Linked DNA regions of Anolis sagrei. Each later gene encodes a partner of the first gene's protein in a complex. Links are inferred from orthologs where the notes say so. Each region holds a gene or a part of one and is shown on either strand. Other genes may lie near its edges.

Region 1 (7,860 bases):
AATTCCTTTCCAAGCAATACAAATGATAACAACAGCCCAGTTTGTGTCATATTGGAAGAGTAGTACTGGAATAGTAAAAAAGAAAAATGGCTGGACATTCTGTCTTTCAATCCATCCTTCGATTTTTGCACAACCTCCCCTTTTTGCTATATATTAATTTAAATTGCACTCCTTCCCATCTTTGGAAATCACTCTTTTCCATTTGTAACTCTCCTTTTCCCCCCTCTGTTCTTGTCTCTATGCGTTACGTTCGAGGGTATCCATATATGCATATGTAGTGCAAGCAGACACACACCTATGTGTGGACCTATATATGTGTATACCTCTCTCTCTACATGTATATGGGGTATCTATATATGCATGTGTGTGCGTGCAGACCAATACCTATATGTCGACCTATATATGCATAGCCCCCCTCTCTATATATGGGGGTATCTATATATAGATATGTGTGTGTGTGCAGACCAACATCTATATGTGGATCTGTGTGTGTGTGTGTATGGGTGTATCTATATGTACATGTGTATGTGCAGACCGATACCTATATGTGGATCTGTGTGTGTTTGTCTGTATCTATACGTACACATGTATGTGCAGACCAACACCTATATATGGATCTATATATGCGTATACCCCTCTCGCTATATATGGGCGTTTCTATATATACATATGTATGTGTGCAGACCAACACCTATATGTGGACCTATGTATGTATATACCCCCCTCTCTCTATATGGGGGTATCTATATATACATGTGTGTGTGTGTGTGCAAACCAACAACTATATGTGGATCTATATATGAGTATACTCCCCTTCTCTCTCTATATATGGGGGTATCTATATATACATCTATGTGTGCAGACCAACACCGATATGTGGATCTATATATGCATATACCTCTCTCTCTCTCTCTCTATATATATATATATATGCATATATTACACATAAAATATATATGTGTATAAATATATATGTGCATAAGTATACATATTATATATGTGATACATATACATATAGGTGTGTGCATTTATGTATATTATGTGTGTGAAGGTGCATAAGTATGACCCAAAATACATTGGGGCAAATGAGAAATTGTAGCTAAATGTACCTTTAGTTGCAAAATACTCACATATAGATAGATAGCTAGAAATAGATAGATATAATATACGAGTTTGCTAATTTTTCCCATTTATGGGGACTTTTAGGCCACCCTACACATATGTGTATATCTATGTACACTAAATATGTGTGAGCATAGATAATTATGCATATATGTATATATAATATGTATGTATATATATTAATAAGCTATTAATACCCCGGAAATCTATATATTAATACCCCAGAAATCTATACATTAATACCCTAGAAATCTATACATTAATACCCCAGGAATCAATAGATATTAATAAACCCGAAATTAATATATATTAGTATATACATAAATTAGTATACATATTAGTACCCCAGAAATCAATATATATGAATAGCCCTGAAATTAAAATATATTTACCCCAGATATCAATATATATATTAATACCCCAGAAATCAATATATATTAATACCTCAGAAATCAATATATATTAATACCCCAGAAATTAATATATATGAATAGCCCTGAAATCAATATATATTAATACCCCAGAAATAAATATATATTAATACCCCAGAAATTAATCTATATTAATACCCCAGAAATCAATACATATTAATACACCAGAAATTAATATATACGAATAGCCCTGAAAGTAATATATATTAATACCTCAAAAATCAATATATATGAATAGTTCTAAAATTAATACATATTTACCCCAGATATCAATATATATATTAATACCCCAGAAATTAATCTATATTAATACCTCAGAAATTAATATATATTAATACACCTGAAATTAATATATATTAATATACCAGAAATTAATATATATCAATACCCCAGAAATTATTATATATTAATACCCCAGAAATCAATATATATGAATAGCCCTGAAATTAATCTATATTTACCCCAGATATCAATATATATTAATACCTCAAAATCAATATATATGAATAGTTCTGAGATTAATATATATTTACCCCAGAAATTAATATATATTAATACCCCAGAAATTATTATATATTTATCCCTGAAATCAATATATATTAATATCCCCAAAATTAATATATATTAATACATCAGAAATCAATATATATGAGTAGCCCTGAAATTAATATATATAAATACACCAGAAATCAATATATATTAATACACCAGAAATTTATATATATTAATACACCAGAAATTTATATATATTAATACCCCGGCATCAATATATATGAATAAATATTAATACATATTATTCCAGATATCAATATATATTAATACCCCAGAAATATTGATTTTTGAGGTAAATATATATTAATTTATGGGATATTAATACAGATTTACCTCAAAAATCAATATATATGAATAGCCCTGAGATTAATCTATCTTTACCTCAAAAACCTCTATGAATAGCCCTGAAATGAATAGATATATAGGTATCAATAGCCCAGAAACCAATAGATATCGATTCCCCAATAGAGATCAATGGGGGCGAAAAAGGAGGCGGGCGGGCGCCAAACACTCACGTTCTTCATGGCAGCCGCCATGTCGTCGTAGCGCTCAGCCTGCTCGGCCAGCCGGGCTTTCTGCACCAGCTGCTCACGGTCCACCATCTTCCTGGATTGCGGTTGTTTTTAAAATAGATAGAAATAGTAAAATTTAAATATATCTATTCAAAAGACAAGAAGATGGGGAAATTTCTCGCCCGACCGAGTCGCCTCGGAGAGAGAAACACAAAACCAACCGGGCTGAAGGAGAGAGAGAGAGAGGAGAAAAAGAGCAAGCGAGCGATCTGATTGGCTGGCCGGGCTTCAGAGAGGGAAAGAGAGGGAGAGAGACGGAGAGCGCGCACAAGGCTCCTTCCCCGCTCGCGCCGCGACTGCTCTGACGGCAGAGGCGACGCAGCGAAGGCGGCGGCGCGCCTCTGCGCATGCGCGGCATTCCTGCCAAACAGAAGCCCCGCCCCTTTCTCTCCCTCCTTTTTCCCCCGCCCCTCTGCGCTTGCGCGGCCCTCCTGCCAAACAGAAGCCCCGCCTCTTTCTCTCCGGAGAGCCACGCCCTCCTTTTCCTCTTCTCTAAAACGCTCCCGCCCTCTCCCCGCGCGCAAAGCACGACGGGAGATAGAGTTCCCTTGCCGAATGATAGTAACGCGGTCAGAGCTGAAGCCGCGGCGGAGGGGACTACATTTCCCAGCAAGCCACGCGCGCTGCTTTTTGTCCTCAAGCCACACACTCATTCAGGGCTTGGACTGGATGGCTCTTAGGAGTCCCTTTCCATTATATTGTATTATAATACATAATATTATAATATTTTAATACTATATTATAATATATAATATAGTAAATTATTAGTATTATATTATTTTTAATATATTATAGTTATATTATAATACATAATATTCTAATCTAATATTTAATACTATATTATAATATATTATATTATAATTAGTATCATATATAGAATATTATGATTATATTATAATACATATATTATAATTAGTATTATTTTATATATTACATTAGAATTATAATGTAATATATTATATATTATAATATATTACATTAGAATTATAATATTATTTTATAATATATTCTATTATAATTATATTATAATATAGTATAATATATAATATATTACATTTTAATTAGTATAATAATGTTATATATACTATTATAATTGGTATTATATTATATAGTATATTATAATTATATTATAATACATAATATTATAACATAATATTAACATTCCAAATTATAATATATTCTGTTATAATTAGTATTATATTATAATATATTACATTATATTTATGTTATATTATAACATATTATATCTTCTATATAATATATTTTATATTGAATGTTTTATATTGTGTATAAACTGTTTTAAATTGTAAGTCGCTCGGAGCACCTTGGTAGAGAGCGACTAATTAAGAAATAAAGTGATGATGATGATATAATTATTAGTATTATAATATTATGTTATAATATATTATATTATAATACTATATTATATTATAATTAGTATTATAATTTTGTAAGATAATATATAATAAACTTATTTATTATTTATTTATTTCGGTTACTTCTACCCCGCCCTTCTCACCCCGGAGGAGACTCAGGGTGGCTTACAAAGGCACAATTCGATGCCGACATCACATAACAGTAGTATAAAACAATCTAGCAGCAATTAACAGTTAAGAAACAGTTCTGCATATAACAATAAAACTAATAAGCCGATAAAACCACTAAAAACCAATTGCACCTCATTAACGGTCAGCGTTCGCCATCTCATAGTCCAGTTTCCAATTCCACTTTGTCAGTCCTGTCAGTCCTAATTGTCTGATTGTCCTTATCTAGTTGTCAGATTGCCCAAAGGCCTGGTCCCATAACCACGTCTTTACTTTCCTCCTGAAGGAGAGGAGGGAAGTTGATGACCTAATTTCCCCCAGGAGTGAGATCCACAGGTGAGGGGCCACCACTGAGAAGGCCCTGCTCCTCGTCTCCACCAACCTCACTTGTGATAGAGGTGGAGTTGAGAGCAGGGCCTAGCCAGATGACCTCAAACTCCGGGGTGGGACGTAGAGGGAGATGCGTTCGGACAGGTACGCTGGACCGGAACCGTATAGGGTTTTGTAGGTCAAAACCAGCACCTTGAATTGTGCTCGGAACTGGACCGACAGCCAGTGGAGCTGACACAACAGGGGGGTGGGGTGCTCCCTGTATGATGCTCTGGTGAGTAATCTGGCTGCCGCTCGCTGGACCAGTTGAAGTTTCCGAACAGTCTTCAAGGGCAACCCCCACGTAGAGTGTGTTGCAGTAGTCTATTCAGGATTATATTACATTATAATTAGTATTATAATGTTATATTATACGAACAGTCTTCAAGGGCAACCCCCACGTAGAGTGTGTTGCAGTAGTCTATTCAGGATTATATTACATTATAATTAGTATTATAATGTTATATTATAATATATTATATATTCGATTATAATTAGTATTATAATATTATAATACTAATATTCTAGGGGTCCCTTCCAAATCATTATGCGTATTGATAGATAAGGCACCATTCAATCCCTCCTGTCAGATGGCCATCCAGCCTCAGTTAAAAACACAAACCACAGAATTTCAGAGGTTGAAGGGATCCCAAAGGCCATCCAGTCCAACCCCATTCCTGCCATGTAAGAAAAACACCATGTAAGAAAAACACAAGAAAAACACCATCCGTCCTGACAGATGGTCATCCAGCCCTCTGATAATAATAATAATCTATACACCTAATGAAAATATCCTAGGGGTCCCTCTAAAGGCCATCCAGTCCAGTCCCCTTCTGCCAGGCAGGAAGGCACCATCAGATCCCTCCCAACAGATAGCCACCCAAGCTTGTGCTTCAAAGCCTCTAGAGGAGGAGACACAGTCCTTAATGTGGAGGTGGAATTCAAGCATAGAGCAAATGGGCTATAGGGCCATGGTCTAGAGGCATTCTCTCCTGACGTTTCGCCTGCATCTATGGCAAGCATCCTCAGAGGTAGTGAGCAAATGGCTTTTCCAGGTCTTTTTGTTTACGACCGCGCCTTTGGCCTCGGTGGATGAGCATTTAGTTATTAATCATTCATTAATAGTGTATTTATTATTAATTAACCCAGGACGATGGGCGTCAAAGGGTCCAGGTGGCAGACCCCACTATTATTTCCTCTCCTCGGCTGTGATGTCTTCTTGCCGCCCAAACATCTGCCAAATTGCCCCATTGTTTGGCTTCTTCCCTTTGTCTTTGCTCCATCCAATCCCAATGGGTTTCAAAGGGATGGCCCAGATCTTAAATTTGGACGTTCAAAGGTCCAGAAGGGATCCCCAAAGGCCATTTAGTACAACCCTTTCCAATCTGCGGTCATTTTGGATGTGCAAAGGCGTAGGATTGGAAGGGATCCCCAAAGGCCATCTAGTCCAACCCTTTTCTGCCATGCAGGAGGACACAATCAAAGCCCTCTTGACAGATGGTCCATCCAAACCTCTGCTTAAAACCTCAAAGAAGAAGATGGTCCAATGTGATCTCATCGTCCAAAGATAAATAATAAATAATAAATAAATAATAAATAAATAATAAATAAATAATAAATAAATAATAAATAAATAATAAATAAATAATAAATAAATAAATATGAATATAAATAAATAAATATAAATAAATAAATTGTCGAAGGCTTTCATGGCCGGAATCACTGGGTTGTTGTAGGTTTTTCCGGGCTATATGGCCATGTTCTAGAGGCATTTTCTCCTGACGTTTCGCCTGCATCTATGGCAAGCATCCTCAGAGGTAGTGAGGTCTGTTGGAACGAGGAAAAAGGGGTTTATATATCTGTGGAATGATGTCCAGGGTGGGACAAAGGACACTTGTCTGTTGGAACTAGGTGGGAATGTTTCAATGGACTACCTTGATTAGCATTTGATGGCCTGGCAGTGCCTGGAGCAATCTTTTGGTGAGAGGTGATTCGATGTCCTTGTTGGTTTGTTTCCTCTCTGTTGTCGTGCTGTTCTAATTTTAGAGTGTTTTTTTTTTTAAATACTGGTAGCCAGTATTATTAATGAATAAATAATAATAATAAATAAATAAATAAATAAATAATACTGGTAGCCAGATTTTGTTCATTTTCATGGTTTCCTCCTTTCTATTATTTATTATTAAATAATAAATAATAAATAAATAATATATATAAATAAATAATAAAGATGTTGAAGAGCCCCGAAAGGCCTAGGACAAAGCTGGGGCTGGATGGCCATCTGTCGGGAGTGATTAGATGGTGCCTTATTTGGCCACTGTGGGCTCATGCTCAACCCATGGTTTAGTTAACCCTCCGACTATAATTTCTCTCTCCAGGAGGAAGGAAAAAGGAGCAGCCATTGGACGGAAAGAACCCATAATAAATAAATAATAATTAATTAATTAATAAAAATAATAAATAATAATAAACAATAAATAAATAAAACATAATAATAATAATAATAATAAATAAGAAAGAAAGAAAGAAAGAAAGAAAGAAAGAAAGAAAGATGTTGAAGAGCCTCAAAAGGCCTTGGACAAAGCTGGGGCTGGATGGTCATCTGTCGGGAGTGATTAGTTGGTGCCTTCTTTGGCTACTGTGGGCTCATGCTCAACCCATGGTTTAGTTAACACTCCCGACTATCCCTTCTCTCTCCAGGAGGAAGGAAAGAGGAGCAGCCATTGGATGGAAAGAACCCATAATAAATAATAAAATAATAATAATAAATAATAATAAATAATAAATAATAAATAATAAATAAATAAATGATAATGAATGAATAAATAAATAAATAAAGATGTTGAAGAGCCCTGAAAGGCCTTGAACAAAGCTGGGACTGGGCGGCCATCTGTCGGGAGTGATTAGATTGTGCCTTTTTTGGCCGCTGTGGGCTCATGCTCAACTCGTGGTTTAGTTAACACTCCGGCTATCCGTTCTCTCTCCAGGAGGAAGGAAAGAGGAGCAGCCATTGGATGGAAAGAACCCATAATAAATAAATAAATAAATAAATAAATATTAATAAATAATAATAAACAATAAACAATAAATAATAATAATAATCAAGAAAGAAAGAAAGAAAGAAAGAAAGATGTTGAAGAGCCTCAAAAGGCCTTGGCCAAAGCTGGGGCTGGATGGTCATCTGTCGGGAGTGATTAGTTGGTGCCTTCTTTGGCCACTGTGGGCTCATGCTCAACCCGTGGTTTAGTTAACACTCCGGCTATCCGTTCT
Region 2 (7,776 bases), on another chromosome or scaffold:
GATAGACATGTATAAAGATGTGAAAGGAAGTCACAGGGAGGAGGGAGCAAGCTTGTATTCTGCTGCCCTGGAGACTAGGTCATGAAACAATGGCTTCAAACTACAAGAGAGGAGATTCCATCTGTACATGAGGAAGAACTTCCTGACTGTGAGAGCCGTTCAGTAGTGGAACTCTCTGCCCCAGAGTGTGGTGGAGGCTCCTTCTTTGGAAGTTTTTAAACAGAGGCTGGATGGTCATCTGTCAGGGGTGCTTTGAATGCAATATTCCTGCTTCTTGGCAGGGGGTTGGACTGGATGACCCATGACATGCGCCTTTCACCTTAAGAACAGACAAGCATCCCGTGCTCTGAGGATTACCTGGGAAGGAATCCCACTGGAGCATTGCAGCACACCCAAATACCCGGGAGTCACTCTGGACCGTGCTCTGACCTACAAGAAGCACTGCCTGAACATTATCACAGGGTGTCTGCGCCCCACACCACTGGAGAAATTACACTGCTTAGCTGGTATTGCACCACCTGACATCCGCCGGGAAGTAGCAGACAATAGTGAAAGGACCAAGGCAGAAACATCTCCAGCTCATCCCCTGTTTGGGTATCAGCCAGCACGTCAACGACTTAAATCAAGACATAGTTTTCCTAGATCTACAGAGACACTTGCTGGAACACCCCAGCAAGCGAGAGTCCAAAAGTGGCAGGCCCAAACCCAGCACCTCAATTCATGGGTGATACCAGATGAGAGACTCCCCCCTGGGCACTCAGAAGACTGGGCGACTTGGAAGGCGCTGAACAGACTGCGCTCTGGCACCACGAGATGCAGAGCCAACCTCAAGAAATGGGGCCACAAAGTGGAATCCACGGCATGCGAGTGTGGAGAAGAACAAACCACTGACCACCTGCTGCAATGCACCCTGAGCCCTGCCACACACACAATGGAGGACCTTCTTGCGGCAACACCAGAGGCACTCCAAGTGGCCAGATACTGGTCAAAGGACATTTAATCAACTACCAAGTTTGCAAAATCTGTGTTTTTTAAAAATCTGTTTGTTTGTTTTGTTCTGTCAAAAATGTAATACAATGGTATGGTTGCTAATAACACGATAAATAAATAAGTCCCTCCTGACACGACCCCCAGGTTGAGAAAGACTGTTCTATGATATACTGAGGGAGCCCGTTCTACAGGGATATCCGTGCCAGGCTTATCTTACCTCTGATATACAAGCACCCAGGCCATTCAGGACAATTTTATACCTCCATGCTACTTGCAGATACTAATTCAGCTACAACCTACAATGTTGCAAAGTTCTGTGCAGCAGCATAAAAAATTTGCCAGGGAATGACTAGTCCCAAAGTCAACTGTGTGTCCAGTAATCTTCTTCCCTGAATCTGCAATTTGGTGATGGATCTGGGCATTGTATGTTTTTAACCTGTTTCCCCTTCTGCTCCCTCACCCATATTGTGCTTTAGTAGTTATATTTATATTTTTAATGTACCAAACATACCAAGTTTGTATGAAAATGTGACTCTATTTCCTGTGCTGGTCAATGACCGAAATAAATGATTTGATTCAGTTCTTGTGGGTTTTTTCGGGCTATATGGCCATGTTCTAGAGGCATTTCTCGTGACGTTTCACCTGCAATCAATCAATGATTTGATTGATTGATATACTGAGTTATATGCCTGTGCGGAAGGGCCCACAGAAAGAGCACATGAGACATGCACATTGGCAGACGGTTGTTTCCCCATCCTTTTTCCTGGAGGTTCCGTTTGGCTTCCTCTTTCCATTTTGCCTACAACCCTGTGGGGTGGACTCAGCAAAGAGCCTTAAATCCTAGGAGAGGCCTGATCGCTCCTGCTTCAAACAAGAGAGAGAGGGCCTGCTCCTGCTTATCTATCAGCAGAGCTGCCCAGACAAAAGCTTCGGGTACCACAGCCTGGAAAGGACCGCACCGAGGCTGTTCTTTGCCAGGGCCATTTTCCCAGGAGTCAAAGCGCTCCATTCAGAAGGCCCGGCCTGCTCTTCTTCCTCTGTCAATATCCCAGCCATTACACCGCAGGAGGATGACTGACTGACCGACTGCCTGACTGAAATCGTGCCCTGAGGCAGGCGAAAAGGCGAGCGGCCTTCCTCTCCTCTCCTTTCCTCTCCTCCCTCCTCTTGGCAGCCGGGACACCGCCCAGCCTCGCCCTCGGCTCCACCGCATCTCCCTCCTTCCCTGAAGCGCACGCTCTACTCACCCCTTCGGCCCAGAAGGCGAGGAAGAGGGAGGGGCTTGCTTGGGAGGCGAGACGGGCGCGGCTCCGGGACCCACCCGCCTCATTCATAAAACGGAGCCAGCGCGCGAGGCAAGGAAGGAAGGAGGGAGGGAGGGATGGGTTCCCAGCGAAGGGGTAAATACAGCGGCGCTCTCCGCCGAAAGGGCGGCTCCCCTCCGATAGGTCGGAGCAGGTGTCAGTCAAGGGCTCAAGGCCCGCCCCTACCCTCACCCCGCCTCTTCACCCAACGCCGGGGCATCCGAGAACATGGGCTCAAAAGCACCCGCCAAGGCGGCCAACGGGGCCCTGATTGGTGCTTCGAAGCGCCACTCAGCCGCCTTCCTACTACCCCCCCTCCCCGCGCGCGCGACCCCCACACACTCCAGCCCTGGGCATTCTATTGCCCTTCCCCCTCCTTGCCCTCCCTCCCTCCGCGCGCTCTTCCTCCTTTGCATCCCCTCCCACCGCGGTTGGGGTCTTACCAGGCACACGTTTCGAAACAGAAAGGGACCCTTTAAGGCTGCTTTAAAAGCCGGAGGACACAATTTCCCTCTATCTCTCCCCCCGCTTTTTTGTTTAAAGGGGAAGTGCGAATAACGACTGCAGAATAATAACTGGCCTCAGAACGGGGTTTTTTTTTCCGGGCCAAGCACTTACCTCAGCCGGAGACATTCAGACGGCAAGACCCGCAGAGAATGCGGGGAAGGGAGGAAAGCAAGCAGGCAGGCAAGCCCTCGGCGCTGGCACAACGGTGCGCGCGCCGCCAACGGAATCAGCCCGTGACGGGACCCGCCATCTTGGAGTTTTCAGATGGAAAGTCACGTGGTACAAACCTCCTTTTTTTTTTCCCTCCCCCCTATTTTGCTCCCGCGGGCCAATCAGAGAGCGGGGCTATTAATAGCAACGTTTCCCTCCTCCCTTGCTCTCCCCCTCCTTTCTCCGACGCCGGAAGTGGAGTTGATTTCGGCTGATTTCGGAAGCGGGAGGCGTGGCTCTCTTCGCGAGTCTCCGGCCAGATTTCTCTCTCTCTCTCTCTCTCTCTCTCTCTCTTGCCATGTATCTCAAAGCCCACGCCGGCAAGAAGGGGCAAGCAAACAAAGAGGGTCGCCCTCCCCTCTTTCCTCTCTCACACACAGAACTGGAGGCCATAGGCAGCCACCATGGAGGTCTCCCGGGAGAGGCGGATGAGCTCCCTCTATCAGCTCCAGCTCTTCATGCGGGGACATGAGAGAAGCCTCCCACAAGGATAAAAACATCAAATCATCCGGGCATCCCCTGGGCAACGTCTTGCAGAAGGCCAATTCTCTCACACCAGAAGCAACTTGCAGTTTCTCAAGTCGCTCCTGACACGACCAAAAAAATGGAGGTGGAACCAAGTCGCCACAGAAAATGCCTCTCTGTACACCGTGTTTACATAGCTTCAGGGGGATTGAATGTTTCATATCCAAAGCCGAGGTTGTGTACCTTGAAATATCCAAGAAGCAGGAATATTGCATTCAAATCACCCCTGACAGATGGCCATCCAGCCTCTGTTTAAAAGCTTCCAAAGAAGGAGCCTCCACCACACTCCGGGGCAGAGAGTTCCACTGCTGAACGGCTCTCACAGTCAGGAATACATAGGAATTCATTCATGGGTTGTTTTTCAAATTATAATCCGGCCCTTCAACAGTTTGAGGGACTGTGTCCTGGCCCTCTGTTTAAAAAGTTTGAGGACCCCGGCTCTATGCCTTCTAGGTTCAACAGGCTAATTCACCAGCCAACTAGGTCATGTATTGGAAGCATGCCCAACTGCCACTCGTGCCAAACACCATTTGTCTAAGTGATACCGTACTTTCAGAACCTGCTATTTTTGTAAGCTATGCTGACAGACACACCAAAGATCCTGGGCACCATGATGAAAACTACTCTTCTTTCTGCTTGTAGTATTCATGATAATAGTAGGTTTCCTGAGCTCACAATTGACCTGGCTTCCAGTAAGACTAGACTGAGGTCGGGGTGTGTGAGGCAGGATGTCAACTACCTAGCACATCTTCAATCACCAGCTGGTCAAGTTGTCCACCTTCTCTAGACTTCTGTCCCTTCTACTCTTATTCTCACCTGATCATATATACTTGTTCCATAGAATCACTTCATTGTTTGCACTTCCTGAGCTATCCCTGTAAATCTAAAAAGCCAAATACATGGCATGTAAAGTGTTTTAAAGCTGTGATGGCGAATGATTCAGGTAGAGCAATATAGCTGGAGAATGTCATCAAGCCAGGTGCCCACATTAAAGTTCTTTTTGTGTTGCTTTCTCAGTTGTAGCAAAGAGTGATTATATTGAAAGAACCTGTCAAAAGTCAATAGACATCTTACCAAAATTGGGAGAACAAAAATATGTTTCCACTCCCACAAGATATTCTGTTATTGTTTTTTTTAAAAAAAAATAATAATCCTAAACTGATGACAAGGCAAGCAAAATAAATAAATAAATAAATCCAAGGAACATATTGCTCAAAAACATTAAAGCACACAAGAAAATGTTCTTTTAAATGTGCCAGAAACAGAAAGCCAGCCAGGGTGGCAGTGCCAGAACTTGGTCATAGGCAACAGGCAGATGGATGCCAGGAATCGGGATTTGTGCCCGGCAGCCTGACCAAAGGAACAAACAGCAGTCAGAACTAAAGAATACACCGAAAAACAGGAGGATTGTTCCTGTTCATCATTAAAGCACTCAGTCCAAATAGGAAGCTCTTCCTAGCCAAGAAAGCTCAATGGCCAGCTTGTTATTACACTGCTTGTAGAGCTGCTGGTTTCCTGGTTCTACCAAGTGGATTGCTGGGTGACAAAAGAGTGCCAAAGGGGACCACTGCAAAGTATTGTTTTCACTCTCTTCTGGTTCAAGACAGGAACGTTCCAGTCCAGCTACAGTCTCTTAGAGTGCTTCCAGACAGTGCCAAAACCCGCATTTTAAATGATGACAAAAATCCCAGACTGCAGATCCCCACACAGACCTGTTAATCCCGGGATTGAGTCCCTTGCCATCCTCACAGCCTTCCTCTGTATCGGAACAATCATGGAATCATAGAATCACAGAGTTGGAAGAGACCTCATGGGCCATCCAGTCCAACCACCTGCCAAGAAGCAGGAATATTGCAATTAAATCACCCCTGACAGATGGCCATCCAGCCTCTGTTTAAAAGCTTCCAAAGAAGGAGCGTCCACCACACTCCGGGGCAGAGAGTTCCACTGCTGAACGGCTCTCACAATCAGGAAGTTCTTCCTCATGTTCAGATGGAATCTCCTTTCTTGTAGTTTGAAGCCATTGTTCCCTGTCCTAGTCTCCAGAGAAGCATAAAACAAGCTTGCTCCCTCCTCCCTGTGGCTTCCTCTGACATATTTATACAAAGCTATCATATCTCCAAGATGGAGGATGTACAAGGGACATCCAATGGAAGAGGTTTTTAAAAAATTCACTCCGTTTTTCACTGGAATGTATATGCACAAATATGAACATCTTAGTATATATATAAGTAGATCCGCATGTGTGCATATGAGTGCATAACAGAAGGACAGGGTAGAAATGTTCAAAATAAATAAATCATAATCAAAAATCATAATCATAATCAAAATGATTTTGGACATTTTTCAATTTATGCAAATTGGGTTTTTGATACAAGGAAAAATTCAGGAGATATTCCAGATAAAAATTCAAATTAATAATGATTTGCTACTATGGGGAGTGTTGGATCATCCGAGTATAATAACTAATTGCCAGGAGTTATTTAAGGTAACAATAAGAGCAGCCCATGCGGTGATTGCTAGAGGATGGAAAGACAAATCGAAATGGACGTTAAGTAATTGGAATGATTATATGTATGACCAAGTGCTGTTAGATATTACGGGAATTATGACTAAGCAAACACCAAGAATGGACAAAGAAAAGATCATTACAAATAGATGGAAGGTCTACTTCAACTGGGTGAAAAATGGAGAAGCCAACGATCACATCAAAGAAAAAAAAATACAAAGACTCTACCAGTGGCTGGATCTGCAAGATTAGTAGAAATATACTGTGGTTAAAGAGGGAGGGAGAGGGAGGGAAGGTGGAGATAATGTAATATACACCAGAGTAAATTAACATAATGTCTTTAATATTTGTTGAATGACTCAGGATTTATATGTGTAACACTTGGAATTTGGCTTATTGATCTGTGTGTATAACATAATAAAATATCTTAAAAAAAAAAACAAATTGGGTTTTTGCAGTTGCCCATGCCTGTGTATGTAAAATAGTTAGAAAGCTCTAGTCATAAGAGAGTACTTTGTTGCCTGCTCCCATTCTTATGTTTTTTTTTTTATTAATGTGATATCAGGATGTATTTGGACATACTCTGAAACTCTCTTGATCATGAAGATATATTTCTTGCCTTGTAAGGAATTTCCTAAAAAAAAAATACATTGGGGTTTTTTGGGGTTTTTTTTTTTTTTTGTTTTTTTGCATATGATATGGGGGGGGGGGGTGGGGAAGAAGTAGCTGATGGCACTATTGCTGTTATCTAGATGGAAACAGTTCTAGTTAGGAATAGTTTGCATGGATTTTCGGTTGAAAATGTCTTAAACTTGAGTGAATGCCACATGCACAATGGAGGACCTTCTTGCAGCAACACCAGAGGCACTCCAAGTGGCCAGCTACTGGTCAAAGGACATTTAATCAACTACTAAGCTTGCAAACTTTGCAAACTGACAAGCTTTGTTTGTTTGTTTTGTTTGTTAAAAAAATGCAATGCAACTGTTTGGTCTGCCCCTGACACAATAAATAAATAAATAAACTTATATTGTACATATTGCTTCTCCAACTTAAATATCCACCAAATGTATATATAAAAGCCAATAATCTTCATGCATACATATATGTTATAATATTATATTACATTAATTATCTGTAATAGATATATGTAACTTGTAGCATGTAGTATTTACCCAACTTTCTCTTCAAATTTAATGTGACCCTGAAACATCCTTAGAAAAACCAGACCTCCTACTTCTAGAAACTAAATTTTGTTGCTTCCGACTCTTCGTGACCTCATGGATCAGCCCACACCAGAGCTCCCTGTCGGCTATCACCACCCCCAGCTCCTTCAAGGTCAATCCAGTCACTTCTAGGATGCCATCCATCCATCTTGTCCTTGGTCGGACCCTCTTTCCTTTTTCATTTGGTGTGTTGCTCTTTAGAGCATCGGATTCGTCATTCACCTCCAGCACCGTTGGCCACTAGCCTTCCTTTCGGCTTTAAGCTATCTGCATCATCACATCTGGGGCTAGTTGAACTTATCCTCTGCTCCTCCCCAGTAGCATTTTGGCCAACTTCCAACCTGGGAGTCCCATCATCCAATGGCATACCAACATATCTCTGGTTGTACTGGTCCATTTCGTTTTCTTGGCAAGAATACTGGGGAGGTTTGCTATTGTCTTCCCCAGGGATCGTGCTTGGTCTGACCTCTCTGTCATGACCATCCCGTCTTGGGTGGCCTTTCATGGT

Evidence for each region.
Region 2: the proteins of YWHAG (region 1) and HDAC4 are in contact, whole or in part, in a crystal structure (PDB 3UZD), measured with the Homo sapiens proteins. The link is inferred for Anolis sagrei from reciprocal best matches to the Homo sapiens genes YWHAG and HDAC4. Residues at the interface, in NP_036611.2 of Homo sapiens: Asn43, Leu44, Ser46, Val47, Lys50, Asn51, Arg57, Phe122, Lys125, Arg132, Tyr133, Gly174, Leu177, Asn178, Val181, Glu185, Leu221, Ile222, Leu225, Asn229, Trp233; in NP_001365345.1 of Homo sapiens: Ser348, Pro349, Ser350, Leu351, Pro352, Asn353, Ile354, Leu356.

The regions. Positions count from the first base shown.
Region 1 is NC_090031.1:32,897,323-32,905,182, reverse strand, and holds the start of YWHAG (14-3-3 protein gamma), read right to left. Parts: upstream 3,005-7,860; 5' UTR 2,708-3,004; coding exon 2,621-2,707; intron 1-2,620. UniProt on the Homo sapiens protein: Adapter protein implicated in the regulation of a large spectrum of both general and specialized signaling pathways. Binds to a large number of partners, usually by recognition of a phosphoserine or phosphothreonine motif.
Region 2 is NC_090021.1:159,870,290-159,878,065, reverse strand, and holds the start of HDAC4 (histone deacetylase 4), read right to left. Parts: upstream 3,083-7,776; 5' UTR 2,913-3,082; intron 2,759-2,912; exon of another isoform or gene 2,738-2,758; intron 2,386-2,737; exon of another isoform or gene 2,238-2,385; intron 1-2,237. UniProt on the Homo sapiens protein: Responsible for the deacetylation of lysine residues on the N-terminal part of the core histones (H2A, H2B, H3 and H4).